Stegostoma tigrinum: one gene and its partners. The protein of the gene in region 1 interacts with the protein of each later gene in a pairwise test. Links are inferred from orthologs where the notes say so. Each region holds a gene or a part of one and is shown in the gene's direction. Other genes may lie near its edges. The genes, in order: trim54, ngly1, tshz3b and si:ch73-264p11.1.

Region 1 (7,596 bases):
TCACCACCATTTATGACTTAGTGAAGTTGGATGACAGAACTTAGGTTTAATCCATTGGTTGTTGGATTGCTTAGCCTGCTCAAAAAGCTATGTTGATTCTGCTTGATTTCCTTGAAGTACTCTAAATGCCCTGACATAGCATTGTTTATATTAACCTCTAACATCGTCCCTATGACAGATATTAAGCTAACCGGCCTGTAGTTTCCTCACTTCTGACTACCCCACTTTTTGAATAAATTAGTTACTTCACTAATTTCCAAGCTGAATCTACAGAATTATTGAAAATCGCAACTACTAAGAGAATCTGACTATCTCCCCATGATATTCAATAGCATTATCATGGATCATGGCTGCAGGATGACATAGATTGACACCTGAATATTGAAGATTATATGGCATTATAGAAGGGGCAGGAGGCTTGGAAGAATTGGAGGAATGACTCTTATTTCACGATGTTACCAACATAAAAGAGAAGGAAGACCTAAGTGTAGGAACACGGAATGTAAAAGTGATTTAGATAGAAATTAGAAATGAAAGAAGAATTGAACTCAAATCAGTCTTCACCATGGAGGATATACATTCAATCCTAGAAATAGCTGTGAATCAAGAATCAAGAGAGGGAAGAACTGAAGAAAATAATAATCAAGAGGGAAGTAGGGTTGAGTAAATTGTTGGAATTGTGAGCTGACAAGTACCTGATGGAACTAGAGGCCAACAATTTTAATATCTGTCATAAGGAAAATATTAGAAACAGTCATACATTCGGACTAGTTTTGGGTTATTGGGCAGAGTCAATATAGTTTTGTGAAAAGGAAATCATCTTCGACAAATTTATTGCTGATCTTTAAGGAAATAGCACATTATGGATAAAGTGGAGCTGGTGAATGTGCTGTGCTTAGACTTCCAGAAGACCTTTGATAAGGTGCCACATCAAAGGTTATTGTAGAAAATAAAAGTTCTGCGTGCGGGGTAGCATGTTATAATGGGTAGAAGTTTGAATAGTTAGCAGGTACAAAAAGTAGACTCAATAGATTCACTTCGGGTTAGCAAGTTGTAACAACGGGTTTTGGGACCATAGCTTTTCACAATTTACATAAATGGTTTAGATGATGCAATGGGAGGTATAGTTGCTAAATTTGCTGATGGCACAAAGATTGGTAGGAAAGTAAATTGTGATGGAAAAATAAGGAGAATGGCAAATGCAGTATGGTGTGAGAAATTGTAAAATTTGTTATTGTTGGTAGCTCTTCTTGTAATGCAGTGGTAGGGTCCCTACTCCTGGACTGGAAGGCCCAAATTCAAGTCCCACTTGCTCCAGAAGTGTTTAAGAAGATTTCTAAACAGGTTGATTAGAAAAATAAGTGAATTTTAAAAAGAAAGATTATCTAAATGATTAGAGATTACAGCGGTTTGCGATGCAGCGGGATTGGATATCCTAGTGCATGAATCACAAAAAGGTTAGTAATAGGTACAGCAAGTAACAAGGAAAGCTGATATAATAAAATCATTTATTGCAAGGGGAAATCAAATACAAGGTAGGGAGATTATACTTCAGGTATAAACACATTGGTGGCACAAAACTGATTAGAAGTGCAGCAACAAACAGTATCATGGCAGAGCTGTCACCTGCTAGTACACCTGGAATCACCCGTATGGACAGTATGTTCATTTCACAAAGGGCAGGAGTGTGCCATATAGGTTGTCAGAATAATCAATGATAGTTTTATCATTACCATTACCGAATCTAGCTTCCAATTTCAGATTTATTTGCTGAATTAATGTGAGTTGTGTGATTGTTACTTGGCCTTCAACTAATGCCTTTCTCTTTGGCAGAATGGCACTCACCCTGATCTTAACTGAGTTCATTCTGGTTTAGGTAAAACTCACGCCTTCAGTGAGCTTGCAACCTCTCAGCAGTCACCACTCTTTAGTGACATTTGACCATTCCTTGCACTGCTTCTTAGCGTCCACCTAACCCTTCTGATAAAAGGTCCAAGTAGTGATAGGTAACACAAGTAGACTCAGCTAGTACCTTAAGGCCTGCTCACCTCCTCATCACCCAGCTTTAAACAGTCATGAGAGTGAAGGCCTGTGATAGATTAGATTAGATTCCCTATCTACAGTGTGGAAACAGGCCCTTCGGCCCAACAAGTCCACACTGCCTCTTGGAGCATTCCACCCAGACACCCCCGAACACTATGGGCAATTTAGCGTGGCCGATGAACCTAGCCTGCACATCTTTGGACTGTGGGAGGAAACCGGAGCACCCGGAGGTAACCCACGCAGACACGGGAAGAATGTGCAAACTCCACACAGACAGTTACCCGAGGCTGGAATCGAACCCGGGTCCCTGGTGCTGTGAGACTGCCGTGCTAACCACTGAGCCACCATGCCGCCCCCATAGCAGTGTGCCTCTGATTTAAACAGCACTTAGTTACTAAAATTTAAGATTTAATGTACATTATTAAAGCAATTTAGGTTGAGCAAAGAATTTGCTTGAGAGAACCCCTTGAAAGAATAAAGAAATTGAGTTGTTTTGTCTTTAGCTAGTTAATTTGTTCAATTCAATACAATTTTCTCAAAATATGCATGAAGAGACTTATGGAACTTGTGTGGATATCCACTTTGTGTTTTTTAGAATTATATTGATATTTTCCAATTGTTGATTGTTTTCTCCACTCCCACTCCATTTATTTTATATAAATTCTCATTATTCAAGCTTTAATTATGATTTTCAAGATTTTTTGTTTATGAATCCAATATGAGTGAAATCCACTTCATTTATACATCCTTGACCAATTCTTCAGTTGATTTCATACCACATGCTGACCACAACTGTGGCAACAATAAAAAAGCCCCAAAGATCTATATCTAAGTTTTAGAATTAATTTTGAGGTCAGCCATCTGAAGCTTTAGCTCTGTTGCTGTCCACAGATGCTGCCAGACATTTTGAGTATTTTCACCATATTCTGCTTTTATGACTAATTTAGTAGTTGATGATCTAAACATCATTTACACCCTTCATGTAGAATTAATTATTTTCAAGGTCTATTTATGTGTTGTGTTTGCTGCTTTTGTCATGTCTAGAAATCATGAAAAAAGAGTTCTATCCCAATGAAGAATAAAGATGCTAAGTGAAGGATGAGACATCCATGACAAGAAATTTAGAGAGAGTATGCTTTTGGGGATGAACCTTGCAGTGGGATGCAAACCGACGCATGGAGGTGCACAGACAATGGATTGTTTGGAGCTTGGAGCGGAATTGGTATAGTTGTTGGACATGTGAAAGTCTCTGCACTGAGATTCTGCAATGTCATGTTTATTCATTGTTCATGTGACTGTATTGTCAATCCTTTAACCAGGTCTTATTTCGACTTACTCATTGAACACTGTAAAGTAATGCAGCTACTCTTTTTGTATTCCTTTTTTGTATCTAAGATTTATGCTGAGATATTTGTACCTAAGATGGTGCCATAAGAGGTGACATTGCCTAAGGAGACAGACCATAACAAAGAAATAGCTTATTTATATTTTTTAGAAATAATTGAGATTCTAACATAAATCCACAGAGCAGCTTAATATTGAGAAGACCAGCATGTCATTCCTCCTTAGATGCTACTTTCAGCTAAATACTTCTCAACATTTGCTAGGGACAACCATTCCTTTGTTTTGGCATAGCAGTCTGTCATGAAAAAGGAGTAGTTAACTACATTCTCGTGAAAGATGGTGGCACATTGCTTTGGTAGGTATAACATTTTTTCTCATTTTATATTTATATCCAACTTAATTGTGATCTTATCATTTGTGTTAATTGGAGATTTCAATTGCATTAGGCTGAGGATTGTATTTCCTAATTAACTAATCTGAAAACACTTCACTTGTTTTGTGCATCGATTATTCATGAAATCAGATTAAGTTGCAAAGTAAAGCAAAAATATATATATTCAACAGGAATATATTGCTGAGCATAAAAAGTGCTGTACACAGGATAACAGGTTGCATTGGATTTAATTTAAGGTTTTCAATTTGAAACTTTGTTCAGGGAGTTGATTTCAGAAACTTTTGAGTTGCATTCAGTTTTGTTTTAGTAATTTATATAATCAGTAGTTTACTACATGACTAAACATCATTTGACAAGGGAAAGAGCTGCCCAACAAATGGCTGTTCAAAATCTCAGTCTCACATTTCAGGAGATAAATATGGAGTGAGGAATGCAGAGCCCACAACTGTTAGTCCATGTGATTTGTTGGCTAAAAGAAAAGCAATACGATCCTCTGTGAAATGATTCTAAATTTAGCTGGCTGCCTAACAGTTGATGTTTCAGCGGAGAGCACAGGTTGGGAAAAACAGTGCCTTGAAGAGAGGGAAAAGGAAAATTCTATTTAACAGATTGAGTGAACCTCTTGATTTTGGGGATGAACCTTGCAGTAGGATTCAAACCAATGCTTGGAGGCGCACAGACAATGGACAGTTTGGAGAAACAACTTATTTGTCCTATTTGTCTGGAAATGTTCACAAAGCCAGTTGTGATTTTACCATGTCAACACAACTTGTGTAGAAAATGTGCCAATGACGTTTTCCAGGTAGGTGTTTCAGAACTTAGTGGCATTTTACCGTGGCATAGTTATTAACCTTAATGCACTATTAATAGTATTAACATTTTAAGTCCATGAAAACTATTCTTTAGAAGCATGCTCTTGATAAAATAGTTTTAATGTTTAGGCCTGTTTTTTACACATCAGATTGCTTGGAGTGCAGATTTACATGTGAAGGGATGTAGGGGAGGAGAAATGAGAAAGAAGAGTATGTCAGATCACAAATACAGTGGCGGCAGAAATTATGATCAAGTCCAGCTCATCTCTTTTTTTAATGATAAAACATCTTTCTCTTTGCCTGAGCTGTGGGTGATAACACTGGCGTTCAGCTGCATGGTTCTGTTGAAGCAAAAAAAAACAAAGAAGAATATCTACAAAAAGCGGAAGACTGACAAGAGGCAAAGGAATGTGAGTAACGCGTGGCGTAGCTGAATACTCTTTTAGGGCTGTTTGACACTTTTATTTGGTACATAATTCACAGGCTTCCAATCCATTCTGGCAGTCGAGAGGCTCCACAACAGTGCCTTCAGGGGGTCGCTTTCGCTGTCCTTCCTGCCGACATGAGGTAGTACTGGATCGCCATGGAGTTTATGGCCTGCAGAGAAATCTCTTGGTGGAAAATATCATTGATATCTACAAGCAAGAATCATCCAGGTTACGCAATGTGCTTTATTTATAGAGAAAGCTGAACCGAGAATGAGTGTGTTTAGTCAATGATCTGTAAACATAGAAGAACATTTTTATTATTTTATTCAAATAAAGTGGTCTTTACCACTTTCTCATAATCATTTACTTCTATATTGCTCTTTTGGCTGAGGTGAAAAAGAAGTATATTTTCTATCAGCCACGCTCAGGAATTAGTAAGTAAGAACAAACAATATCAAATCCTTTGGGAATACAGTAGAATGTTCCACAATGGGAATTCAAATAGTACTATGTAGGAAATGCTCACAATTTTCAAATTAAGAAAGTAACAAGGTTAAAGGAAGAGGAATGATGAGGTAAGTCGTACTACAGGGAACAGGGTCTGAAAAACCTGAAACTGCAGGATGAAAAGATGCAAATCCTTGTATTCCACTTGTTTGGGTTTTTGGGTACAAAATTCACATGGGCCGGTTTATGATCTTTGTCTTTTTTCAAGGATTCTTTAAGAGGTTTGCAACAAAGGAGGAACCTGTATGGATAATGCCCATGCTGTCTTTTTATTAGGACAATTCAAAACTACTCCTATTGCCTTAATAGGCCTATATGTTCCAACTTTAATTTTCAGTTTTCCTTTAATTGATGTTGTGGTTTCTGCTTTCAGTAACAAAGAATTCTAGTTCCAATGCCTTTTCTTTGAAGCACTAAATCAAAGCCTACTTAAGATTGGAGACCTGCGATTGATGGATAAAAAGAGGAAACTCTAACACCACTCATCTATTTTAGATAGAAATGCTATTTGTGAAATCCTCAAATGAGGTTGTTTGATGCCAACACATCTGCAAGACTTTCAGTTTGTATGACAGAGCATAATTCAAATGAAATCACTTTTATGACTTCCAATTGCATAGTCAGACTCATTCAAACAAATCACTAATGTAAACTATTTTAAATATAAAATCAAATTCTCAATGATAAAGTTATTTTACATTTCTGTTCAGAATCTTCTGGTCTCATTCAATTAGTCTATCTCAGTTGGGTTATTGTCTTTTCCAAATAACAATAATGGGTAAATAGTCTAATTGTTGACTGTTAAGAGAATTTAAACTTTGCCCTTCAGACAAGGACATGCAAATTGTATCGCAGTTAATGTTGTGCAGTCACTGTTGTAATTGGAGAAAACATGTCAACCAATTTATATACATTTAGGGTCCATGAACAATACTGACAATAATAGCAAGATAGTTTATTTCAGCAAGATAGTTTAAAGCTATGATTCACTGAACCAGATGCTTATCATTTACCATACTTGACCCAATGATAACTCTCCGAGATAGTTATTAGTCACATATTTTATCTTGATATGATCCCTCTACTATATTCATCTAAATTTTTGATTAATGTGCGACTGTTTTATTGACTAAAGTTTACGATTTACACAACGTTTAATAACTTTTAGTTAAAGTGACAATACACTTGTATAGTAATTTACATTGTGCAAGTGGCTACAAGTTCAGGATTATTTTATAAGCTCATCATTTTGTTTACTAAAACATTAACATTGGTGCTATCAATGCTTTTGATCTATTGTGTAGATCAGAGTTGTTGGTTGGTTTGCCGAGCTGACTGGTTTTTGTACAAATGTTTCATTCCCATTCTGGGTGACATTTTCAGTGCTGTCTAGCCTCCGCTGAAGTGCTAACGTTCTGTTCCATTTTAAATTTATATGGTCTGGTCTGTTATGGCGGGTGGTTCTGTTTCCAGTTTTGCTCCATCGTGGTATTAAGCTGGGGTCTATTTCAAGATGTTTATGTTGTTTATGGCACCGCCATTTTTGCATAGGTGTGTTCACCCATCTTGGGTCTTATAATGGAAGCAGTTATGCAAAGACTTGAACATGCAGATCCTCCCCCAGATCCAGCCTAAATTATTGGTTAACTGCATCAACGATACTTTCTTTATCATTAAATGAGCAAAGTTAGAAGAAACACATCAGCTTATTAATAACCTATTCACTGAGATCAAGAGGATCACCAAGGAAGAACAGAACAACAAACAACTCATGACTTGGACGAGGGGATTGAAGGATGGGTCAGCAAGTTTGCAGACGACACCAAGGTCGGAGGTGTCGTTGACAGTGTAGAGGGCTGTTGTAGGCTGCAGCGGGACATTGACAGGATGCAGAGATGGGCTGAGAGGTGGCAGATGGAGTTCAACCTGGATAAATGCGAGGTGATGCATTTTGGAAGGTCGAATTTGAAAGCTGAGTACAGGATTAAGGATAGGATTCTTGGCAGCGTGGAGGAACAGAGGGATCTTGGTGTGCAGATACATAGATCCCTTAAAATGGCCACCCAAG
Region 2 (7,820 bases), on another chromosome or scaffold:
CAAGTCTCTATACTGTGACTCATCTAAAGAAATAACACCACTCTCTCCTTTCAAGATTCGGTTCCATGTGAGTTGAGTACCGACTCCAAGTGGAGACACTAAGCCAATCCCAGTAATGACAACTCGCCTTCGACGTTTTGGATGGTTGGTACTTGCGAAACAACGTGCATTCAATTCTGATCTTGTATTCTTGAGATTCAACAGTTGATACCAGAAAACCTTTGTTAGCAGCTTCTTCCTTTGCAGCAACATATCTTTTAGCTTTTATCCACAACGTTGGCAAGAAAATGCACTTGGTTTTACTGTGAACAGTAAAGATGCACAGGAAAATCATTAAAAAATCTGCAAGTAGTAAGCAAATAGTTGTGAAAAACCAAATTTCAAATCTTTGCAATGTAAGTTTTCTTGAAGACAGAATGCATGCTTAGGATAATAATGTTTAATTACAAACTGTGATAATTTCTTTATTCATTAATGGGGTGAGGATGTTGCTTGCTAGACAGCATTTATTGTCCATCCCTAATTGCCCAGAGGGTAGCTCAAAGTCAAATACATTACTGTGGGTCTGGAGTCACATGTAGGGCAGACCAGGTAAGGATGGCAGTTTCCTTCCCTAAAGAACATTAGTGAAGCAGATACGTTTTCCTGACAATCGGCAATAGATTCATGGTCATCATTAGATTCTTAATTCCAGATATTTTTATTGAATTCAAATTCCACCATCTACCAGGGTGGGATTTGAACCCAGGTCCCCAGAACATTATCCAGGTCTCTTGATTAACAGTCCAGTGATAATACAACTAGGCCATTGCCTCCCCTAAAATTTATTCCATTTTCAACTGTGATTGAACAGTTCATAAGAGATCAAGTTCAACTAAATATAACATTGAAATAAAGACACTCTGGAAAGTTATATTGCTTCTGATTTTTGTGCACTTATTCTGTTGTGTTTATTTTTCATGCAACTCTTTTTTCCCCCCAAAAAATGCACACATCACCATTCCTGTCAAAAATTAGGGAGCACTCAAACTCTGTTTCTCTACTCCCTCAACACTGCCTCAAAACAAGTTTTTAATGGGGGTGGGACATGGGGAACAGACTGCTGATTAACTTACCTTTCAATTTAACTTTGATAATATGAGGAACACACCCTAATCTGTATTCAGTATCTTGTCCTAACAGGATCATATTGCATAACAGATCATGGCGTTGTGTTGTGAGATAACAAGGTATAGAGCTGGAAGAACACAGCAGGGCAGGCAGCATCAGAGGAGTAGAAAAGCTGACGTTTTGGCTCTGGACCCTTCTTCACAATCTACAGATTTCTGATCCAGACACACAAACCAATTGTCATGTATAAATTTCACCATAACAACTGGGGGAACTTGAATGAAACTAATAAACATCTAGAATTGAAAGGTGATCTCAGCGAAGATGATGATGAAACTACCTATTGGCATGAAAACCTATCTGGTTCTCTAATGCCATAAGGGTAAGGAAATCTTCCATCTTCACCTGCTTTGGCTTACATGTGACTCCAGAACTACAGCAATGTGGGTGACTCTTAATTGCCTTGTGAAATAATCAAGTAAGCCACTCATTTCAAGGGCAATGAGGGATAGACAATAAATACTGGCCTTGCAAGTGACACCCACATTCCATGAAAGAATAAGGAAAAAAAAATACTATAAGACCATCTTGGAAGGCATGACAACCCTCAGCCTTTCTTTGTCCAACAAAAATCATCTCTTTATTCCACTGCTCATCTGCACTCTTTTCAATCAAATGCAAGCAGCATATGGGTTTCAAACATCACTGTGCCAATTACTCCTCACCTCATTTCAAATCCTTATTATGGTGGTTTTTCTTTCATCTCCTCTCTGCCTTTTATGTTTAGTTTTTTTCATGAAATCGACATCCTAATTCTTCCATCTTCAACTGCCCCCTCCTGTTTGCAAATGTCATTCAATGTTCAGATACTATCAACACTTTCCCATTTTTTAAATGTTTAACGTTGTTAAACATGCCATTAGCTCAAATGTGAATTCCTGCAGTGTGGCTAAAGTTAACAACAGCATAATGACCAATATCATAAATGGCCTTAAATTGATGTGACTGTGGAGGAAATGGGTCATTCCTGGATTTTTCACATTGTTCAGTACTATTGACTAAGGCATTCTCGTCTATCACCGATCCTCGGTTCTAGAAGGCTGTCAGCATTGGGCAATTCAAAGTTTAAATGAATCATGTAAATGCACAAATAAGTGACTGTATTTCAAAATCATATTTTAGATAAGTACAGATGTAATCATTGGGAAATTTGACTGGGGCATAGACATAACCCAGTTCTCATTTTAAAGTCAAACACTATGTCTTTAGATTAGATTAGATTCCCTACGGTGTGGAAACGAGTTTATATTATTCATGATTGTTACGACAAATCTCAAAAGCAGAGTCTTTGCTGCAGTGATCGTACCACGATCCCACTACTGGTTGAGAGGTATAATTTAAATATGATGCATTTACAAAGATAACTCTCACTAATAAAAAAATATAGTAATCCATAATGACGATAGTTTTATCAAGATAGGAAATATACATAAATAAAACACTTTTTAATACATTATAGGTTTAGATATTACACAGAATAGCTATTTAGAGTTGACCCTAATTCAGTTAAATAAAATGTAACGAATATTTGAATTTATTCATTAAAACTTGTCCTTGCAGCAAGTTGTCTATTTTGTAGCTCCAGGCTTACATTGAGAAAGTGATCTGTTATTTCACCTTTCAAATGAGCTTCTTGTATGCAAAATTACAATGAAGGAATTGTTACCTACGCTATCAATTTGTAACCAAAATGTAAAACATTCTTAAACATGCTCAAATCAATTTGACTACACAATAAGGTGGCCATTGCTGAAGGCCAAGAATATTGGACACCAATCCCCAAGGGCGTACTGGCCTAGGAGTGGGGAGAAGACATTACGCATGAGATATCACCATCATGAGCCTCTCAAATAGGGTGACCAGATGTTGGTGTGTGTCCTGACAGTTTCCTTAAATTGTTCAGATGTCCCAGCCTTAAACTTTTCCATGTACTGGAAGCATACGTTTGAATACATGGCTAAAAGTACACCCAGGGGGGTGCTTTTCCCTGCAGTCACCACAGTTTATGAGACTCTTTGCCCCAGATAGTTCAGTGTGATACTTCACATGTCCCCCCAACCCACATGTTTGTTCTGTGTGCCCTGTCAGATCAGTGTCACACTTTGTGCCCCCACTCCACCGAAGTTCGAGTGACAGTGAGCGTACACACTCAAGACAGAGGCTGCTCATTGCGGACACATGCACACACACACGCCCCTCCTCATTCAACAAACATCTATTTACACAACAAGCCAGGACAGGATGAAAGACAAGCCACTTCCAAACCTCATTTTCACATGAATTCCACCAAGGTCAGTTTGGAATGTACACCCCCCCAAGGCTAACTCAACATTAGAAAGGGCATAGGTTGAAGGTGAGTGAGGAAAAGATTTAAAAGGGATTAAGGGGCAAGTTTTTCATGCTGAGGATGACGTGTGCATGGAATGAGCTGTCAGAAGAAATTTTGGAGGCAGCTACAATTACACCATTTAAAAGGCATTTGGATGGGTACATGAGGAGGAAGGTTTAGAGAGATATGGGCCAAATGCAGGCAAATGGGTCAAGATTAATTTAGGATATCTGGTCAGAATGGATGAATTGGATCCAGAACAAGTCCTAAAGTCCTCTGTCTGCTTCCGTTCTTCATTGATCAAGATTTGGAGCCTTGCCTATCTCTCTCTAGCTCTATTTCTGGAGTTAAATGAAAAGGTAGAGCAAAAATCTTATTAAACTTCTAGATAGCTTTTAAATGATTATTTTATGAATTACTCATTTTTAATCAATTTATTATTTTGCTTAGCAAGTTATTTTATATACCCAAAACAGATCTCAGAAGGGTCTCGACCCGAAACGTCAGCTTTCCGGCTCCTCTGACGCTGCTTGGCCTGCTGTGTTCATCCAGGTCTACTGATTCTCCAGCATCTGCAGTTCCTACTATCTCAGGTAGGTGTTGCCGGGATCCTTATTGAAGGGGAACGAGAAGATCACAAGAAGTCTTAAGTATTTTTTGGAAGACCAGCAAAAGGTTAGTTCCAAGTATTGGAAAGGCTCAGCATGTCAGCAGTTTTCCGTGTGGAGAGAAAAAAGCGTTCTGTGACTTGTCGTCAAAACTAGTTAGGATCGTGATTTTTTTTAACAATATAAGAAACTTGGAAACAGAAGTACTTGGGCCCTCAGATAACAAAGTGTGGAGCTGGATGAACACAGCAGGCCAAGCAGCATCTCAGGAGCACAAGAGCAGACGTTTCGGGCCTAGACCCTTCAATTCCCCGAAAGATGGATCAGCACTACTACTTTCAGTTTCTAAAATAAACAAGACTGAGGAGGAGCCGTCCTTTGGACGAAACATAAGTAAACACAAAATAAAATGTAAGAAAACACGGGAAATATTTTTAGAGAAGGACTCGTGAACAAAGAGACAGAAGCAACTTTTCAGATTCGTCTACGCTCACTCACCAACTCCCTGAGGCGCAGGCGCAACTCAGCCATGGCCGTGCCACGACGTCACGACGTGGGCGGAGCAGGAGGTTGTCCGCCCAAAACCAAAGAGCATCAACCCGAAAGGGGCAAGAGCGGCGCTAATGCAGCGTCATCACTTCCTGAACGGAGGTTATTTCAGTTTCTTTCCTCAGACAGCCGAGCGGTTGTCGGTATTCCGGTTTTCTTTTTAAATTGGAGATTGTCTGCCGTCTGAATACACAGGAGCAGCTGTTCGTCGAGGAAGGGGAGTTAAAGCGCCCTCTCCTGTGGGCTGCAGTCCATAGCCTGTCCACCATGGTGTCGGTGTCGGTGGCTGTGAGCGAGCTGAGCCAGAATCCCGAGCACATCTTCCTGGACGCTTCAGAGCTGCTGCTGAAATATGCCGACAACATCCTGAGGTAAGGGCTAGGTCCCGGTTTGCGGGGGAGGGTGTTGAAAATGGTAGCGCTCAGCCGCCGGCTCCGTTCAGGTCGCCCTCAGAGAGTGAAGTTGGATTCAAGGTTAACATACGTTATTTTCTCCCTATCCCAATGTGTTGTTTCGATGGGTCGATTCACTCCCCGAGTTACCACCTTTCTCATAGGTTGAAGGAAAGGTTTCGATTGTTGTGTTCTGGGCGAGAGGGGTGTACGTGGGAAGTTTGGCTGGGCTTCGACACACTGTTATAGTATCAGAGGCTGATTCTTTTGCAGCAGTAATCAGAACTCAGAAAGCACTCTGAGGCAATAAAATGTGAGGCTGGATGAACACAGCAGGCCCAGCAGCATCTCAGGAGCACAAAAGCTGACGTTTCGGGCCTGGACCCTTCATCAGAGAGTCCAGGCCCGAAATGTCAGCTTTTGTGCTCCTGAGATGCTGCTGGGCCTGCTGTGTTCATCCAGCCTCACATTTTATTGCCTTGGATTCTCCAGCATCTGCAGTTCCCATTATCTCAGAAAGCACTCTGTCAGGCCGTGCCCACTGGGAGAACACCCAGAGGGTTTTAAGAAATCTCTCATCTGTCAGGAATCGGTCTAAACCTCCTACTGGCCACAGCCAGAATTGCTTGGAGACCCCGATATCTTGCCTCGCATTCTTGCGTGGTGTCCAAAACCCCAATGTGGAAATTCTTCTTTAGTCTTTCCAGGATTGTGACGTTCTTCCTAAGGTGTTTGGTTTTCCCCGGAATAATTTGCAGTGCTGCAGATGCGGTCTAATTGTAGACTTGTAAAGGTTGAATGTAACGTCCTTATTTTGTTGTCACTATTCATTAAGCCAAGTGTTCATGCTTTCTTATTTACATCATTAACCTTCCCTGCCACTGTGTGTGAACGTGCAGATCCCACTTCTCTGCACCCTTTAGAATGGTATAATTTACATCATACTGCCTCTCCAGATCATTTATGCTAAACTGCATTCTACTGATAGTAAGTTGTGTGTGCTCATTTCATCAATGTCTTGCTAAAGTGTGGCTCTTCTGTTTACTGCACATTGTGTTGCCATGTATATATCAATTGCAAACATCAAAATTGTATGTTATAGGTAGGTCTAGGCTATTAATGCAAACTGCAAAAATACAGTAATCCTAATACTGACCCTTAAGTGGATGAGTGGGTGGGAACCCTGTTGAATGCTATCTTCAGTCAAAAGTAACTTGGCCGTTGCCTGCTATCTCCCAGCCAATTTCATTACCATATTACCATTGTCCCCTTTTCATATCATGTAGTTATGTTTAAGTCTATTAGGTTATTCTTTATCAAATATCTTTTGAAAGTTCATATTACACATCAATTGCACCAGCTTCTTCAATCTTCTTTTAGATCATCAAGTAACTCAATCTAGATTAGTTAGCTCTGATTTTGTCTTGAAAAAGTGGGAATTTGTCTCAATTAGCTTTTGTACCACAGATGCAGTCCTTCCCCAAATGTTTTTGAACCAAGAGGCGACAATGCCATAACATGTAAACCTATTGCCAGTACTTCAATGTCCAAAGAAGAATTGAAGATTGTGATCAGAGCATCTGCTGTCTACCTAACTTGGCATCACATTTCTATTTTTCCTTTTCTAATCCAGCATCTTGACTGCCTCCTCGCTGCAACTTTAATGTTATCCCTTTTCAGAATGTCTAATTTCTGTTTCATCCTTAACCAATCTCAATCTTTATATTGCTTCATATTGTGAAAATATTTATTTTGCACTTTTATCATTTGGGAATTTGAATTTCAAAAATAGAGGCAAATGGAATTGCGTTTCAGTTTTGTTTTGGAGAGGTCAGAGTTAGTGGCAGAAATGACCTAAATAGAATTTCTAAGGAAGCATGTGGCTTAGTAAGTGCCAAGCCAGATACCGGTGGTGTTACTTAATGAGGTGTTTACGTTGCTAAGTTTATGACATGCAGAAAAATAAATGACCAGGAATCACTGGTGCTTAGGTTTGAGTTCAGTTCAGGAGTATCAGATTTCAGTTTCATCTCAGCAGAATGATTTTTATTTTATGAAGTCTCCAAGCTGCCAGAGTTTGAGTAACAGTTTCAAGCTGTTGAATCTGGAGGGAAGCCCTGAGGCCATCGGAACTGGAGACAGTAATTAAGAAATTAGTTAAGATGGGAGTAATACTAAACTATGAGCATCTGTAAATAATAGCTGGGAAAGTTTGAAACTTTGTTTTGCTGTTGATATTAAAATTTTTCTAAATTGTTGGATAGCTTTTTTAGTTTAATAAACGTGAGTTCTTGTAGTAAAAGAACCATAACAGCTTTACGTGAATATGTTCAATGCCTGACTGCAGTGGTAAGCTACTGTAAAAATAAACTTTTTGATCTTTCAAGCCAAATTTCGTATTTAGATCTGACATATCCAGTATAGCTATCAGCCGGGATCGTGGCAATATGTTGATCTAGTATTTTTGGATTTAATTTGTTAATTGCTAACATTTTCATATATTTTGCCCTTTTTTCCCCCCCTCTTATACTGGCAATATCCATAAATTTCCATAGAATCCTTACATGGGGAAACAGGCAATTTGGCTCAACGGGGTCACACAGTCTCTGAAGAACATCTCAGCTAGACCCATCCCATCCCTATAATCCTGCACTTTCCATGGCTAACCCACCTATGCCACTGAACACTATGGGCAATTTAGCATGACCAATCCACCTAACTTGCATGTCTTTGGACTGTGGGAGGAAACTGGAGCACCTGGCAGAAACCCAC
Region 3 (8,305 bases), on another chromosome or scaffold:
TGCCAAATATGAGCAATGTGATTAAGGGCGACATCAGTCAGTTCAATGCTTACAACAAATATCAAGCTAAGTGAACTAAAGAGCCACTTATGGCACGTGACTGACAATGGATGAAGGTTGCAGTAAACCTCTTCAGTCATGAGCTGAATAATCTTGTCACTATCCACTACTTCTCTGACAACTGGGAGTTAGACCAACTGATATCAATGACACCCAGTGTTGTTGTCGAATGTCTGAATGTGCACTTCAATCATTATGGCATTCCAGACATTGTGATGAGAGACAGTGGCCCTCAACTACTGAGTGAAGAATTTAGCCATTTCATAGAGGGTTGAGTATTTCAACACCATACACCGACCCCACACTATTCCCAGCCAAATGAAAAGGCTGAGACAGCAGTAAAAAAAATCACCAAATGAATCATAAAGGCATTGAACAAATTCAATACAGATTTCTACAATCATTGACTGGACAACTGTTGAAGGAATAGAACATAGAACATAGAACATAGAACAGTACAGCACAGAACAGGCCCTTCAGCCCACAATGTTGTGCCGACCATTGATCCTCATGTATGCACCCTCAAATTTCTGTGACCATATACACGTCCAGCAGTCTCTTAAATGACCCCAATGACCTTGCTTCCACAACTGCTGCTGGCAACGCATTCCATGCTCTCACAACTCTCTGTGTAAAGAACCCGCCTCTGACATCCCCTCTATACTTTCCACCAACCAGCTTAAAACTATGACCCCTCGTGCTAGCCATTTCTGCCTTGGGAAATAGTCTCTGGCTATCAACTCTATCTATGCCTCTCATTATCTTGTATACCTCAATTAGGTCCCCTCTCCTCCTCCTTTTCTCCAATGAAAAGAGACCGAGCTCAGTCAACCTCTCTTCATAAGATAAGCCCTCCAGTCCAGGCAGCATCCTGGTAAACCTCCTCTGAACCCTCTCCAAAGCATCCACATCATCTAGATTACTCTTTAATGGCTTTGTGCAAAGGGGCAGGTACCCAGTTGAAGGATTGGACCATGCTGCATCTCAGGGCTGCTTGCCTACTCTCTCACAGATTGCTCACTTCACGCTGACTGGCAGGCTCACAGCATCCTTGCTGTGCATTGGGATCCCAAGTACTGCCATCAGACAACCAGGCACTTAACTTTCCTGATCAGCAGACCTCAGTCAAGAGGCAGAAAGTTTACTTTCTGACAATGTGCTATATCAATTTCACACCTGCACCATGTACAGCAGCTCACACTGAAAACACACTGCATGTATCACAGATCACACTGCAAACACACAGCATGTGTAGCAGCTCACACAGCAAATACACTGCATGTACAGCAGCTCACACAGCAAACACACATGCTGCAAACACACAGCATGTGTAGCAGCTCACACAGCAAATACACTGCATGTACAGCAGCTCACACAGCAAAAACACTGCAAGTACAACAGCTCACACAGCATAAAACACTGCACGTGCTGCAGCTCACACAGCATACATACTGCATGTACCACAGCTCACAGCAAAAACACTGCACATACTGCAGCTCACATAGCATACTCATGTATCACAGCTCACACAGCACACACACTGCATGTATCACAGCTCACATAGTGAACACCTTGCATTGGCTGCAAGCAGGCAGTCAGGTCTCAAAACCTTAAGGGACTACTCTTCACTGAAGCCCATGGAGACACCCACCAGTCAAGCGGACCCACCACAATAAGTTCTGGGCAGCCTTAAGTACCAATCCAGGGGATTGGTCAAGCATCTGCTTGGTTTATGTAGGTGTCCGTGCCTCTGCAGTTTGGGGAGTGGGAGACAGTCAGTTACAGTGGCTCCATGTTGGCCATTTCTAGAGGGAGCAGGGCTAATGGGATTAGGCAGATATACATTTAGCAGCCACGGGTCTGGGCACTTCTCAATCTGGTTGCATCACACATGCAGATAAGCCACTGTCAGTCCATTGGGTCTGATCAGAGTAACTAAGAGTAAAAGGGGGCGAAGCGTGGAAAAAGAGGTTGCAGGAAGGAGACTTGGCAAGTTATTCTTTTGGAGGGTGAGGCACGAATAACAACTGTAAAGGGCCGACAGTAAGTGAAAGGAGGGATATAATTAAAACATGATGTGAAGGGGTCATAGGGAAGGGGGAAAGGGCTCGTTCACAGTCAGTATGATCCCAGTTGCAAGCAGGAGACAGTGCCTGATCACACAGGCATTGTGGTGAGTGGCCAGAGGTAGGATGCAATGAACAACAATGACAACATTAATGTGAGAGTTACAGTGGAAGGAAGAATGGTGCTTAACAGATTGTTGGGCCATGAATACTTTGACATCTCTGCAGGAGCAATCCATGTCTTTTCCTGCAATGGCCAGGATTCTCTCCTCAGATGGGGTGAGGAGCTTAACATCAGGACTCCTCCACCCCATATTGGCTCCTTCTGCCATGTATGGGCTGTCTTCTCCTGTAAAGTGAGAAATTGAGTGAGATGGCATGGCTGCAAGTCCTGGTGGGTGAAGGGCGTTGAGGAGTTCTGAGGGAGTGAGTAGTACAGAGGGCATGGAGGGTTGGTGCTGAGGGAGGATGGAGGTAGTGTGAGCGGGTAGCAGAAGAGGTTGCATGCCAGAGTGAAAATGGCAGATCATGAGCTATGGTGCGAGGCGGATGCAGTAGCAGAGATAGACTGAGTATTAGGTTGCAAAGAGAAGAGTGGGGCACTTGCTCTGGTGAAGAGGAGAAGATAATTGACCTCCTTGCGGAATTACTGGCTATTCCTCTGCATCATGGAGATGGCTTTGATCTCAATGGTGACTACAGACCAGGATGCCAGGATCAGGTGGCATGGTGTCCTTTGCCAGTCCTCTTGGAAGAGAACTCCTCTCTTTTGCACCACCCACTTGTTTAGAACCTCCAGGTCATTGTTGGAGAATCATGATGTCATCTTCCCTTTCTCTAACATCTTCCGCAAACCTCCTATACTGAGCAAGGCAGCTTTGAAATGACAATGACCATCTGGGTGCATAGCAGCTGAATGAGTACTTATATTGGGAGACTAACCTAACCTGTACGTGCAATGTTTTTTGTCGAATCTACGAGAAGCAGACTATTTGGAAAAATGTAGTTGCGCTTTTGTATACAGGCTGACTGGTCATGCTCATGTTATCTTTACCAATACTGTAAATACCTTTGTATGCTGCTTGAGGGGCCAGTGACCACACTTTATATGGAACAGCTTGTCACTGGGAAAACCAAGAAAAGTTGTGAGGTTGGGTTTTAAACAATACCCTAACTACTTCATTTGGCAGTTCAGGAGCATGGTAGAGTTCAGATGTCCACTTTCCACCCATCCCCTCTGGGAAATAGCATAAGCCAAAAACCAAGGTAAGATATCCAGGTACGTAACACCTGGCACTTCTCCCTGCAACCACAGGAGGTACTACACCTGCCCCCACACCTCCCCCCTCACTCTTGTCCCAAGCCCCAAGAAAACCTTCCACATCAAGCAGATGTTCACCTGCACATCTGCTAATGCAGTATACTGTATCTGCTGTTCCTGATGTGGCCTCCTCTACATCAGGAAACCAAGCAGAGGCTTTGTGGAGCACCTACGCTCAGTTTGTGACAAACAACAACATGTCCCAGCCGTGAAGCACTTCAACTCCTTCTCCCACTCCTTGACTGACAAGTCCATCCTGGGCTTCCTCCAGTGCTACAACGATGCCACCCGAAGGCTGGAGGAACAGCACCTCATACTCCGCTTGGGAACTCTGCAGCCCAATCCACATGGTGTCAATGTGGAGTTCACAAGCTTCAAAATCTCCCCTCCACCTACTGCATCCCAAGACCAGCCCATGTCATCACCGCCTTCTTGACCTGTCCATCTTCCCTCCCACCTACTCACCTCTCTCTCCTCACTGACCAACTCCTATCCCAACTCCCTACCTACACTCATCTTTACTGGTGTCATCCCTGCCTTCTTGACCTGTCCGTCTTCTCTCCACCAATCTGCTCCTCCATTCACCTTCTATCATCACCTCCTCCTCTCTCTATTTATTTTGAGCCCCCTTCCCCTCCCCCATTTCTGAAGAAGAGTCCAGACCCAAAGCATCAGCTTTCCTGCTCCTCTGATAATGCCTGGCCTGCTGTGTTCATCCAGCTCTACATCTTGTTATCTCAGGCTCTAGCATCGGCAGTTCCTACTGTCTCTCACATAACCTCATCACTAACTTTTCAGGCTGCACTTTCGATTCAAAGAATTATCGGGTCACCAAAATCCAGCTTGGGGTGTTTGATACACATCAGATGAATTTTTCAAGCCAGCACCAAGCCAAATACAATAGACAGCATTTTATGTCATTCATATGGGCCCAGTCAATTAGCTGGAGAACTGGTGGAAAAGGAATGTCACTTCTCAAGAAGTGAGCTGAGTCAATTCAACAGTTTTCAGGGCCTTCACTGGGATTCAGGACTTCAAGCATCACCACCAGAAAGAACAAGGATCACTGAAATAACCAGGTCAGAGGTGAGTGAAGTTAGAGTGGGGGTTGCAGTGACAGTTTTAGCAGAGTGGGTATATGGGGGAGGTGGAAGGGAAGGACCGGGAGGCATTTGATACCAGGTCACTCAATCAGTTACTAAGTGCTTTTGAAAGAGGGACCACCCCATAGTAGGCAGCAGATAAACAGCCTTCTGGAAGTTTGGGAAAGCTATGCCATTGACATGTAGCCCCTAAGTTACCACTAAAGTCAGATCCCAATGGGTTCAATAATGAAGTCAATTGACAACCTGCCATGAGGGACTGTGTTTCTACTATGGCTTTGTATTTCACATTGCTCGGAGACTGATGTGAGCCTCTCCCAGAATTGAGTGGATCCAGTTCCATGTTTTCCACCAGGCCTGGCTGCTTTAAATTCAGCCCACAAAACAGAGAGGGAAAATGAAGAGGATGATAAGACTGGAAAAGACGGAAAATGAGAAGAGAATGACAGCATAAAAAGGAATCCAAAATTCTTCTGACGCATGGAAATACTCAGCCTGCTGGCAGTAAGAGGTGAGCTGGAGTCTATTAGGGATGAAGAAGGTGAAATAGGTCTTTTCTATGTCTGGAGCAAGTAGGCCTTGAACCTGGGCCTCGGGCTCGAAAAGGTAGTGGAGTGAAAATTACCGACATTACCCATTAGACTCACTGGAATCTAACACCCATTGCATGCCTATCCTGCAGCCACACCACACTGTCGGGCATGCTAAGTTGCTTAACTCTGAGACTTAGGCCCCTCACTGGGGTGTAGAACCCAATGTCTGGAGCTGCTGGACAATCTCCACCAAACATAGCTTTACTTCTTTTGAATTTTCTTTTGCCCTTGTAATTTACCACCTGTTTTTCAATGCAGGAGGTCTTGTGGTGGAGAGGGTGGTTTCCTTGCCTCTGAGCCAGAATCTTCTGGGAATCATTTTGGGAATGATGAATCATGATCGTCAAAGAAGGTACATTAATAACAGTTTGATTACTAACCTGTCCATACTTCTGATATACACATGACAGATTGTATAAATAGTGGAGTCTCTTGGTCAGCAATGTATGATGTAGCACGTCATCCCTCAGGCTAGAACTTCTGTTCTAGGAAAGACGAGCTTTGGAAACAGAGATAAGCAAGTGCATTGTCTTCCTCTGGTATTATTAGAAATATGGGAAAACTTTATATTTTCAATGCATAATTTTAGGAATTTGAGGAGCCTTGACCTGAAGCAGTTGAGAAAAATTTATAATTTCATTAAATGTTGATAGAATCTGTCAATGATCTCTTAAAGACTTTCTGAAAAATAATTTTTAATAATTTGCATCAATTGTAAAGGGAGAAACAATAAATTTCTTGAATAACAAGAGGACTGTTTCAATTGGCTTGGCAACCCTTGACCAGAAGGCAGAAGAAAACGTTAGGACATTAAGATGGAAGCTATGTGTCAGATACAAAAGAGAGCTACAGTGGAGCGAAGAAAATTGAATTCATATTTACAATGAGTTGTGTTTGTGTAATACATTTAAACAGAACAGAAACCTGAAAACAGGGTTAATGCAAAGATTGAGAATTTGACAATTTTAATGCCGCTGCTTCAGTTTTAGCAAAGCTGATTATAAAAAGGGGTGTATAGAAAGATTTGGACAAAGTGATCTCTGGGGAATTTGTGTCATCAATACTCTCAAGCCTAACGTAGAAGGTTCTGCAGGATTGTGTTGTTTGGGTAATGAATGTCTCCAGGGACAATACGGATGTTGGTGAATGTGTCTTGAGAGCCAAATTTATTGGGTGGGAAAATAGAGGTTTTTACTACCAGAGTCAAATGAGAGAACCTTGGAACAGCACGTGGCGCCACATGCCTGTGGGGAATGTTGCAGTACTTGTGATTCTTTAAAATATATCTTTGCTATATTGACTATTTAAGGGCAAATTATTATATTTATTTGAAGTAACATGTGCCTGTTAATTCAAGTTTATTTGTATTGATTCTGATTCCTGTCAAAGGAGCAGTTACCGGGGAAGATATTTAACAGGGGTAAAGGAAACTATGACGCTAACAGACAGGAGTTGGGAAGTACAGATTGGGAACAATTGTTCCACAGAAAGGACAGAGCAGACGTGTGGAAGCTGTTTAAGGAGCAGTTGTTGCGAGTGATGTCTAAATTTGTTCTTCTGAGACAGGTAAGAAGGGGTAATATTAAGGAGCCTTGGATGACGGGTACAGAGGTGCTTCTTGTCAAAAAGAAAAAGGCAGCGTACGTAAGGTGGAGGAAGCAAGGGTCTAGCACAGCTTTAGAGGATTACAGGCTTGCTTGGAAGGAGCTCAAAAGTGGACTGAGGAGGGCCAGGAGGGGGCACGAAAAAGACTTGGCAGGAAGGATTAGGGAGAACCCGAAGGCATTTTACTCATACGTGAGGAATAAGAGAATGATGAGGGAGTAGGTAGGGCCGATCAGGGATAGCGTAGCAAACTTGTGTGTGGAGTCTGAGCAGATAGGGGAAGCCCTAAATGAGTGTTTTGCTTAGGTTTTTACTAAGGAGAGGGACCTTGTTGTGAATGAGAACTTTGAGGAGCAGGAAAACAGGCTTGAACAGATCAAGATTGAGGAAGTTGACGTGCTGGAAATTTTGGCAAACATTAAGATTGATAAGTCCCCAGGGCAAGACCAGATTTATCCTAGGTTGCTCCGGGAAGCGAGAAAGGAGGTTGCTTGCTAAGCCGCTGGTGAAGATCTTTGCTTCCTCACTCTCCACGGGAGTTGTACCGGAAGATTGGAGGGAGGCAAATGTTGTTCCTCTTTTCAAGAAAGGGAATAGGGAAATCCCTGGAAATTACAGACCAGTCAGTCTTACGTCTGCGGTCAGCAAGGTTTTGGAAAGAATTCTGAGGGATAGGATTTATGACTATTTGGAAAAGCATAGCGTGATTAAAGGGAGTCAGCATGGCTTTGTGAGGGGCAGGTCATGCCTTACAAATCTTATTGAGTTCTTTGAGGAAGTCATGAGACAGATTGACGAGGGTCGAGCAGTGGATCTGGTGTACATGGACTTCAGCAAGGCATTTGATAAGGTTTCCCATGGCAGGCTCATTCATAAAGTCAGGAGGAATGGGATACAGGGTGATTTGGCTGTCTGGATTCAGAATTGGTTGGCTGACAGGAGGCAGAGAGTGGTTGTAGATGGTAAGATTCTGCCTGGAGGTCAGTGCTGAGTGGTGTCCCACAGGGCTCTGTTCTTGGGCTTTTGCTCTCTGTAGTTTTTATAAATGACTTGGATGAGGAGGTTGAGGGGCGAGTTAGTATGTTTGCTGATGACACAAAGGTTGGACGTGCCATTGATAGTATCGAGGGCTATTGCAGGCTTCAGCAAGACATTGACAGTATGCAGAGCTGGGCTGAGAAATGGCAGATGGAGTTCAACCTGGATAAATGCGAAGTGATGTACTTTGGAAGGTCGAACTTAAATGCTGAATATAGGATTAAAGGCAGGATTCTCGGCAGTGTGGAGGAACAGCGGGATCTTGGTGTTCAAGTGCATAGCTCCCTCAAAGTTGCCACCCAGGTGGATAAGATTGTTAAGAAAGCATGTGGTGTTTTGGCTTTCATTAACAGGGGGATCGAGTTTAAGAGCCGCGAGGTTATGCTGCAGCTCTACAAAATCCTGGTGGGACCACACTCCGGAATATTGTGTCCAGTTCTGGTTGCCCTATTATAGGAAAGATGTGGAGGCTTTGGAGAGAGTGCAAAGGAGGTTTACCAGGATGCTGCCTGGACTGGA
Region 4 (7,880 bases), on another chromosome or scaffold:
ACTCCATTTGCCACCTCTCAACCCAGGTCTGCAGCTTATCTATGTCTCTCTGCAACCTACAGCATCCTTCTTCACTATCCACAACTCCACCGACCTTAATGTCGTCTGCAAATTTACTAACCCATCCTTCTACGCCCTCATCCAGGTCATTTATAAAAATGACAAACAGCAGTGGACCCAACACCGACCCTTGCGGTACACCACTAGTAACTGCTCTCCAGGATGAACATTTCCCATCAACTACTACCCTCTGTCTACTTTCAGCAAGCCAATTTCCGATCCAAACTGCTATATCTCCCACAATTCCATTCCTCCGCATTTTGTACAATAGCCTACTGTGGGGAACCTTATTGAATGCCATGCTGAAATCCATATACACCACATCAACCGGTTTACTCTCATCTACCTGTTTGGCCACCTTCTCAAAGAACTCAATAAGGTTTGAGAGGCACGACCTTCCCTTCACAAAACCGTGTTTACTATCCCTAATCAATTTATTCTTTTCTAGATGATTATAAATCCTATCCCTTATAACCTTTTCCAACACTATACCAACATCTGAGGTAAGGCTCACTGGTCTATAATTACCAGGGTTGTCTCTACTCCCCTTCTTCAACAGGGGAACCACATTTGCTATCCTCCAGTCATCTGGCACTATTCCTGTAGACAATGACGAGTTAAAGATCAATGCCAAAGGCTCGGCAATCTCCTCCCTGGCTTCCCAGAGGATCCTAGGATAAATCCCATCCGGCCCAGGGGACTTATCTATCTTCACCCTCCGAAGGATTTCTAATACCTCTTCCTTGTGAACCTCAATCCCACCTAGTCTAGTAGCCTGTATCTCAGTATTCTCCTCGAAAACATTGTCGTTTTCTAGAGTGAATACTGTTGAAAAATATTCATTTAGCGCTTCCCCTATCTCCTCTGACTCCACACACAACTTACCACTACTATCCTTGACTGGCCCTAATCTTACTTTCATCATTCTTTTATTCCTTAAATACCTGTAGAAAGCCTTAGGGTTTACCCTGATCCTATCCGCCAACAGCTTCTCATGTCTCCTCCTGGCTCTTCTGAGCTCTCTCTTTAGGTCTTTCCTGGCTACCTCGTAGCCCTCAAGTGCTTTAACTGAGCCTTCACATCTCATCCTAACATAAGCCTTCTTCTTCTTCTTGACCAGAGATTCCACCTCCTTTGTAAACCACAGCTCCCGCACTCTACAGCTTCCTCCCTGCCTGACAGGTACATACTTATCTAGGACACACAGGAGCTTTTCCTTGAATAAGCTCCACATTTCTAATGTGCCCATCCCCTGCAGTTTCTTTCCCCATCCTATGCTCCCTAAATCTTGCCTAATCTCATCATAATTGCCTTTCCCCCAGCTATAACTCTTGCCCAGTGGTATACACCTATCCCTTTCCATCACTAAAGTAAACATAACAGAATTGTGATTGCTATCACCAAAGTGCTCACCTACTTCCAAATCTAACACCTGGCCAGGCTCATTACCCAGTACCAAATCTAATGTGGCTTCGCCCCTTGTTGGCCTATCTACATACCGTGTCAGGAAGCCCTCCTGCACACACTGGACAAAAACTGACCCATCTATAGTACTCGAACTATAGTGTTCCCAGTCAATATTTGGAAAGTTGAAGTCCCCCATGACAACTACCCTGTCTCTCTCACTCCTATGGAGAATCATCTTTGCTATCCTTTCCTCTACATCTCTGGAACTATTCGGAGGCCAATAGAAAACTCCCAACAGGGTGACCTCTCCTTTCCAAAGAGAGAGGTCATATTGAACATAGGCCCTTAGAAAGTGAACCTGAAGAGATGGTTTTTGGGAAAAAGGAAATGGCAGAGGAGTCAAATAAATATTTTGCATCAGTCGTTACAGTGGAAGATATTTTGAACATTCCATTAATACCGATGAATACAGAGGGAGGAATTAAATACTTTCACCATCATAAGAGAGGTATGATCAGACAACCTTATGGGATGCATGTACCATAACATTATTACAGGTAATATTAGACAAACTAACAAAGCTAAAGGCAGATAGGTCCCCTGGCTTGTATCCTAGGATCATAAACGGGGTAGCTATAGAGATAGTAGATGCATTATTTGTAATTTTCCAAGAATCCTTAAAATCTGGCAAAGTATTAGAAGATTAGAAAACTTGTCAATGTAAGACCTCTATTCCTAAAGGGAGGTAGGCAAAAAGCAGGTAACTCTAGCCTTATATCTATTGTTGGAATATATCAGAATCAATTATTAAGGAAATAATACCAGAACCGTGAGAAAATTATAATCTAATCAAACAGAGTCAGCATGGTTTTGCGAAAAGGAAGGTGTGTCTGACTAATTTTTATTCAAGACTGTCCTAACAGAGTGGGTAGAGGGGAGATACTGTATTTGAACTTCCAGAACCTGTTTTGACAAGGAACCTCACAAGACATTCAATCATTTGATAAGGGCCTATGGTGTTGGAAGTAGTATATTAGCATGGATAAATAATTGGTGAATGGCAGGAAATAGTGGGTGTAGATAAAGGGTTCTTTTTCAGATTGGCGACCTTTGTCCAGTGGGATTCTATAGAGTTCAGAAAAAGAGAATGCACTGTAGTAAATTTAGAGACAACACAAAAATAGTTGGAAAGGCAGCTTGTGAGAGAGGTATACATTGTTTACAGAGAGGTGTTGATATGATATGTAAGCGGGAAAAAATGTTGGCAAATGGAATTGAATATAAAAAAAAGAGAAGTTATTCATTTTGGGAAAAAAACAAAAGAATAGAATGTTATTTGAATCGAGAAAACTGCAGAAACCTGTAATACAAAGGGACTTAGAGGTACTGGTGCATGAAACACAGAAAGATAGCACATGGGTTCACCAGGTAATCAAAGAGGTTCATGGAATGTTAGCCTCTATTTCATGGTGTTTAAGTTATAAAACTAGAAAGTCTTACTGCAACTGTACAAGGTGTTGGTGAGACCACATCTGGCGTACTATGAACAGTTTTGGTCCCTTTTTTTAAGAAAAAATACTATTTCATTGGAGGCAGTTCAGAGAATATTCACTAGGATAATCCCTGGTATGGAGGGATTGATTTGTGAGCAAAAGTTAACCAAGTTGGGATTCTACTCATTGGAATTTAGAAGAATGAGAGGTGATCTTGTTTAAACATTCTGGATTTTTAATAGGTATTGCGGGATAAATGTTGAGAGGATGTTTCCCCACGTAAGACAGTTTAGAACTAGAAATGAGATAGTAGGAATTGCCGATGCTGGAGAATCTGAGAAAACAACTTGTAGAGCTGGATGAACACGCAGGCCAAACCGCATCAGAGGAGAAGGAAGGCTGGCGTTTCGGGTCTGGACCTTTCATCAGAAATGGGGGAACAGAAGGGGATTCTGCAATAAACAGAGAGGGGGAGGTGGATGGAAGGTGGATAGAGGAGCAGATAGGTGGAGAGGAGACGGACAGGTCAAGGACGCAGGGACTAGAGAAATAGTCTCAGAATTAAGTAGCACCAATTTAAGACTGAGATGGGGAAGAATTTCTTGACACTTTGGAACATGCCACAGAGAACTGTGGGAACTGAGTCCTTGTTCGTATTTAAATTTGAGATAGATAGATTATTGATCAGTCAGAGAATCAGGGCAAAGGGCAGGAAGGTGGAGGTGTAGAGTGTCAGATCAGTCATGATCCTATTAAATGGCAGAACAGGATCAAGGGGCCAAATGGCCTACCCCTGTTTCTGTTTCTCATGGCCTCAGTTAGTAAGGAGGATTTTGCAGGGCTGTTTTATTTTCAATACCACAGTCATGTGTCAGGCAACCTATTTTATTTCATTCCTTTCTTTAAACTTTGTAGTGCTTGACACAACTGAGTGCTTGCTGATTTCAGAGAGCAGTTTAAGAGTCCACCACATTGCTGTGGATATAGAGTCACATATAGGCCAGACCAGATCAGTATGGCAATTTCCATTGCTGAATGGAAATTAGTGAAGTAAGTAGGCTTTTCCAACAATTGACATTGGTCCATGGTGATCATTGGTCTTTTAATTCTAGTTTACCATTGAATTCAAGTTCCCATGTGGTACCTGGGTCTATGGATTATTACTTCCGTGACAATACCATCAGGCCAAAACATTCCCTTAAACTGAAATGAAACAGCAATGTCGGAATCGTCAGTTCATCTCTTTTAATGTAACAGACAGAACATTGGAGACAACTCCCTCCTTCTTCTTTGAAATAGCGTCACTGTATTCTATATGTCTACTGGAGGGCAGATGGGTCCTACACCAGCACTTCATCTGAAGCCATCCTGATCATGCAGCATTGCAGACAATGTCAGCTTAGGTTTTGAGGTCAATAGTATAAAATGGTACTGTGACTTACAATCCTCTTTGTCAGAGATCAGGGTGAAACCAAATGAGCAATGGCTGACACTTAGAGGAAACTCTAGCCACACGAAACTTTTAAAATTTGAGGGTGTGAAATTAACTGGACGTGTCTTCAGTAATTGACAAACATTGTCCTGCTGAAACCATATATTTTGTTAGACTGTCAATTTCATATGTTATGCTAAGTTTACTATCTTCCATGCAGTTTAGAGTTACTGCATAAAATATAGGTAGATTGGAAACTTTTACCTTTATGCTATTAAAAGCTGACGTAATGGATCCTGTGGTTTTCAAGTCAGCAATATGGTGAAGCATTGCATCACTAATGCATTTTTTTAAATTCACGTCTGACCAACAGCATTTCATTAAAGCGTTTTCCACAGAAATGATCTATATTGCATGAAAGGAACATAATTGCTGATTTCTCTACCAACTTGTATCGATATTGCCAAACAAAAGTAACATTACATTCCACAGAAGATAAGGTAAGATTGCAAAATGACAAAGATATATAATTAAGCTTAGTAAAGTTATGAAACAGGAGCAAAAGCCGTAAACTAGGCTGCATGTCATTTCTGCATACATGTTCGAACTAAAGCATTCAAATTATTCATAATGGCTATTATATTTCACACTTTGTGCTATTTCAGCTGGTACAGAAACAGTCTGGCTAGATTTTTGATGTTGAATTTATCATGTAGTTAGATATACTTGCACACTACAGTACTGATATGATGAAAATTTCCTAATAAGGCAAAAGTTTTGAACAGGCAACGTGTAAAAGTTTAGTGAATTCTTCATTCACTTGTAATCTTGATGTAACAATATTTCTTGCAATGTGTTGATATGCTTACAATATTAATATTGTCAGTTGCTCATTTGTAACAGCAGTAAACACTGTATTGTTAACACTGAGAGTAATGAAACAAATGGCTGATGGTGTCAAGCAAGTTGACCTAATTACTTACCGTCAGTAGAGAGAATGACCGATTTGGATGGGATGCACAGTGCAGTAACATAGTGTGTTACGGGATTAGTAGTCCAGAAGCCTGGGGTAATGTTCCAGGAGTATGAGAACAAATCCCTCTTGGCAGTTAATTCAATTAATATATGTTCCTTCTGCTGCCGGTATAATGTGGTTACAGTATGCACCATTTTAAAATGCATGGCAGCCTCTCACCAAACCTTCTTTGGTGGCAGTCTCCAAACATTGAACCTTGACTATTGAGAAGTACAAGAGTACAGTTGTATGAGAATACCATGACTTGCAAGTTCCTCTCCAAACAACACATATCCTGACTTGAAAATATATCATAATCCCTAATTGTTGCTGGGTCAAGCTTCTGGATCTCCTATTTCAATGGCCTCTCAATTTTTACTTCCACATATAGAGATTTGTGTATTTACATCTGCAATATTACTGCTCCTCCTTTAAAACTGTACCATTTAGTTAAAATTGCCTCCTCCTTATTCCTAGCAAAACATACCACTTCTCAGTTACTGGCAGTAAAATTTGTCACGTCTCAGCTCAAATTGACAGTCTATGTCTTCCTAAAACCTGCTATCATCTTCGCTGTTTACTACATTTCTCAGTTTACTCTTACACCCAATTTTGAAATTAAGTCCTGTGCTTCGGGGTCCAGATCATTGGTACGGGTCAAGAAATGCAAAAGTCCTAATAATCCCACTGAGGGGACATCATTGTGTACTTCCCTACATTACAAAATTACAGCTACTCATCCTACCACTTGATCACCGCTACACCCTGCTTTTTGTCACTTATCACATTTTGTAGCCATGTTGCCAATATTCCATCAAACACAGAGGATTTAATTTTTCTAAAAATTCTTTCATATAGCATTTTGTCAAATGTGATCTATGAATCCACGTACACATCACCTGCATTGCTTTCGTAAACAATCTCCTTACCGTTCCTGTTGGAAGATGTCTGGAACCAATGGATACAATCTCAGAGAAAGGGGCAGTCCATTTAAGAGTGATACAGAGAGGATTTTCTTCACTCAGAAGATGGTGAATCTCTGGAATTCTCTACCTCACAGACCTGTGGAGATTCAATCGCTGAATAGGTTTAAAACAGAGATTGACAGATTTCTAGGTAGTAAAGATATTACGGGATATGAAAATCCTGTCGAAAATGCTGTTGAGGTCGAAAATCAACATTGAATCAAAGAGTTGGCTTTATAGGCCAAATGATCCACTGCTATACCTATTTCTAATGTCCTTATATTCCTCTGCAGCTGCTTCAAAGAACTCAAATTGATCAAATTTGATTTGCTGCAAATAAATCCATGCTGATTTAACTCATGCTAATCGCCAATTAATTTGTCTCAATTATAATCTCCCAAATAGTTTTGCTGACTGATCTGTAGTTTTTTGGTTTATCTCTCTCCATTTTAAATAAAACGGAGCATGATAATTGTAATATCTGTTAAGGGTTGGAAGATTGTTGCCAGAGGCAAGCAATTTGACATTGTTATTTCTCTCCCTAATGCAAGATGCATTCCATTCAGACATTGGATTTTTTATGTTCTGATTGACTATTGATGAAGTGCATCATCTTTATTCTGTTTTTATCCTATCAGACGTTAATAGTGCTTAGTCTGTTACGGCTATATTAGCAGCATTCCATTCTTCATAAGTCTTTAAGACATAGAAGCAGAAATATATCCTTCGGCCCATTGAGCCAGTTTAAATATTCAATCAGCATCACTTTCCTGCCTTATTCCCAAAACCCTCGCTTCTCCACTCTTTAAAAACCTGTCTGCTCCAGCCTTGAATATAATTAAATACCCAACCTCTACAGGCCTCAGTGGTAAAGAATTCCACAGATTCACTACTCTCTGAGAGAAGAAATTCTTTGTCATCTATATAGATAGATTGGAGAGTTGGGCAGATAAATGGCAGATGGAGTTCAATCCGGGCAAATGTGAGGTGATGCATATTGGAAGATCTAATTCAAGAGTGAACTATACAGTAAATGGAAAAGTCCTAGGGAAAATTGATGTACAGAGAGATCTGGGTATTCAGGTCCATTGTTCCCTGAAGGTGGCAACGCAGGACAATAGAGTAGTCAAGAAGGCATATGACATGCTTTCCTTCATCGGACGGGGTACTGAATACAAGCGTTGACAGGTCATGTTACAGTTGTATAAGACTTTGGTTCGGCCACATTTAGAGTGCTGTGTACAGTTCTGGTCGCCACATTACCAAAAGGATGTGGATGCTTTGGAGAATGTGCAGAGGAGGTTCACCAGGATGTTGCCTGGTATGGAGGGCGCTAGCTTTGAAGAAAGGTTGAGTAGATTAGGATTATTTTCATTAGAAAGACGGAGGTTGGGGGGGAACCTGATTGAGGTCTACAAAATCATGAGGGGTAGAGACAAGGTGGATAGCAAGAAGCTTTTTCCCAGAGTGGGGGACTCAATTACTAGGGATCATGAGTTCAAAGTGAG

The links.
Region 2: the proteins of trim54 (region 1) and ngly1 interact in binary tests that used the Homo sapiens proteins (3 or more experiments, as listed by UniProt). The two-hybrid records come from large-scale screens. The link is inferred for Stegostoma tigrinum from reciprocal best matches to the Homo sapiens genes TRIM54 and NGLY1.
Region 3: the proteins of trim54 (region 1) and tshz3b interact in binary tests that used the Homo sapiens proteins (3 or more experiments, as listed by UniProt). The two-hybrid records come from large-scale screens. The link is inferred for Stegostoma tigrinum from reciprocal best matches to the Homo sapiens genes TRIM54 and TSHZ3.
Region 4: the proteins of trim54 (region 1) and si:ch73-264p11.1 interact in binary tests that used the Homo sapiens proteins (3 or more experiments, as listed by UniProt). The two-hybrid records come from large-scale screens. The link is inferred for Stegostoma tigrinum from reciprocal best matches to the Homo sapiens genes TRIM54 and SH2D1B.

Annotation. Positions count from the first base shown.
Region 1 is NC_081357.1:80,447,693-80,455,288, forward strand, and holds the start of trim54 (tripartite motif-containing protein 54), read left to right. Parts: upstream 1-4,309; 5' UTR 4,310-4,415; coding exon 4,416-4,583; intron 4,584-5,076; coding exon 5,077-5,249; intron 5,250-7,596. UniProt on the Homo sapiens protein: May bind and stabilize microtubules during myotubes formation.
Region 2 is NC_081355.1:63,429,891-63,437,710, forward strand, and holds the start of ngly1 (peptide-N(4)-(N-acetyl-beta-glucosaminyl)asparagine amidase), read left to right. Parts: upstream 1-4,687; 5' UTR 4,688-4,923; coding exon 4,924-5,027; intron 5,028-7,820. Other genes in the region: oxsm (3-oxoacyl-[acyl-carrier-protein] synthase, mitochondrial), read right to left, coding at 1-252. UniProt on the Homo sapiens protein: Specifically deglycosylates the denatured form of N-linked glycoproteins in the cytoplasm and assists their proteasome-mediated degradation. Cleaves the beta-aspartyl-glucosamine (GlcNAc) of the glycan and the amide side chain of Asn, converting Asn to Asp.
Region 3 is NC_081369.1:34,018,898-34,027,202, reverse strand, and holds the start of tshz3b (teashirt homolog 3b), read left to right. Parts: upstream 1-4,935; 5' UTR 4,936-5,030; coding exon 5,031-5,061; intron 5,062-5,401; coding exon 5,402-5,495; intron 5,496-8,305. UniProt on the Homo sapiens protein: Transcriptional regulator involved in developmental processes. Functions in association with APBB1, SET and HDAC factors as a transcriptional repressor, that inhibits the expression of CASP4.
Region 4 is NC_081365.1:32,323,393-32,331,272, reverse strand, and holds the start of si:ch73-264p11.1 (SH2 domain-containing protein 1B), read left to right. Parts: upstream 1-4,786; 5' UTR 4,787-4,892; intron 4,893-7,880. UniProt on the Homo sapiens protein: Cytoplasmic adapter regulating receptors of the signaling lymphocytic activation molecule (SLAM) family such as CD84, SLAMF1, LY9 and CD244. In SLAM signaling seems to cooperate with SH2D1A/SAP.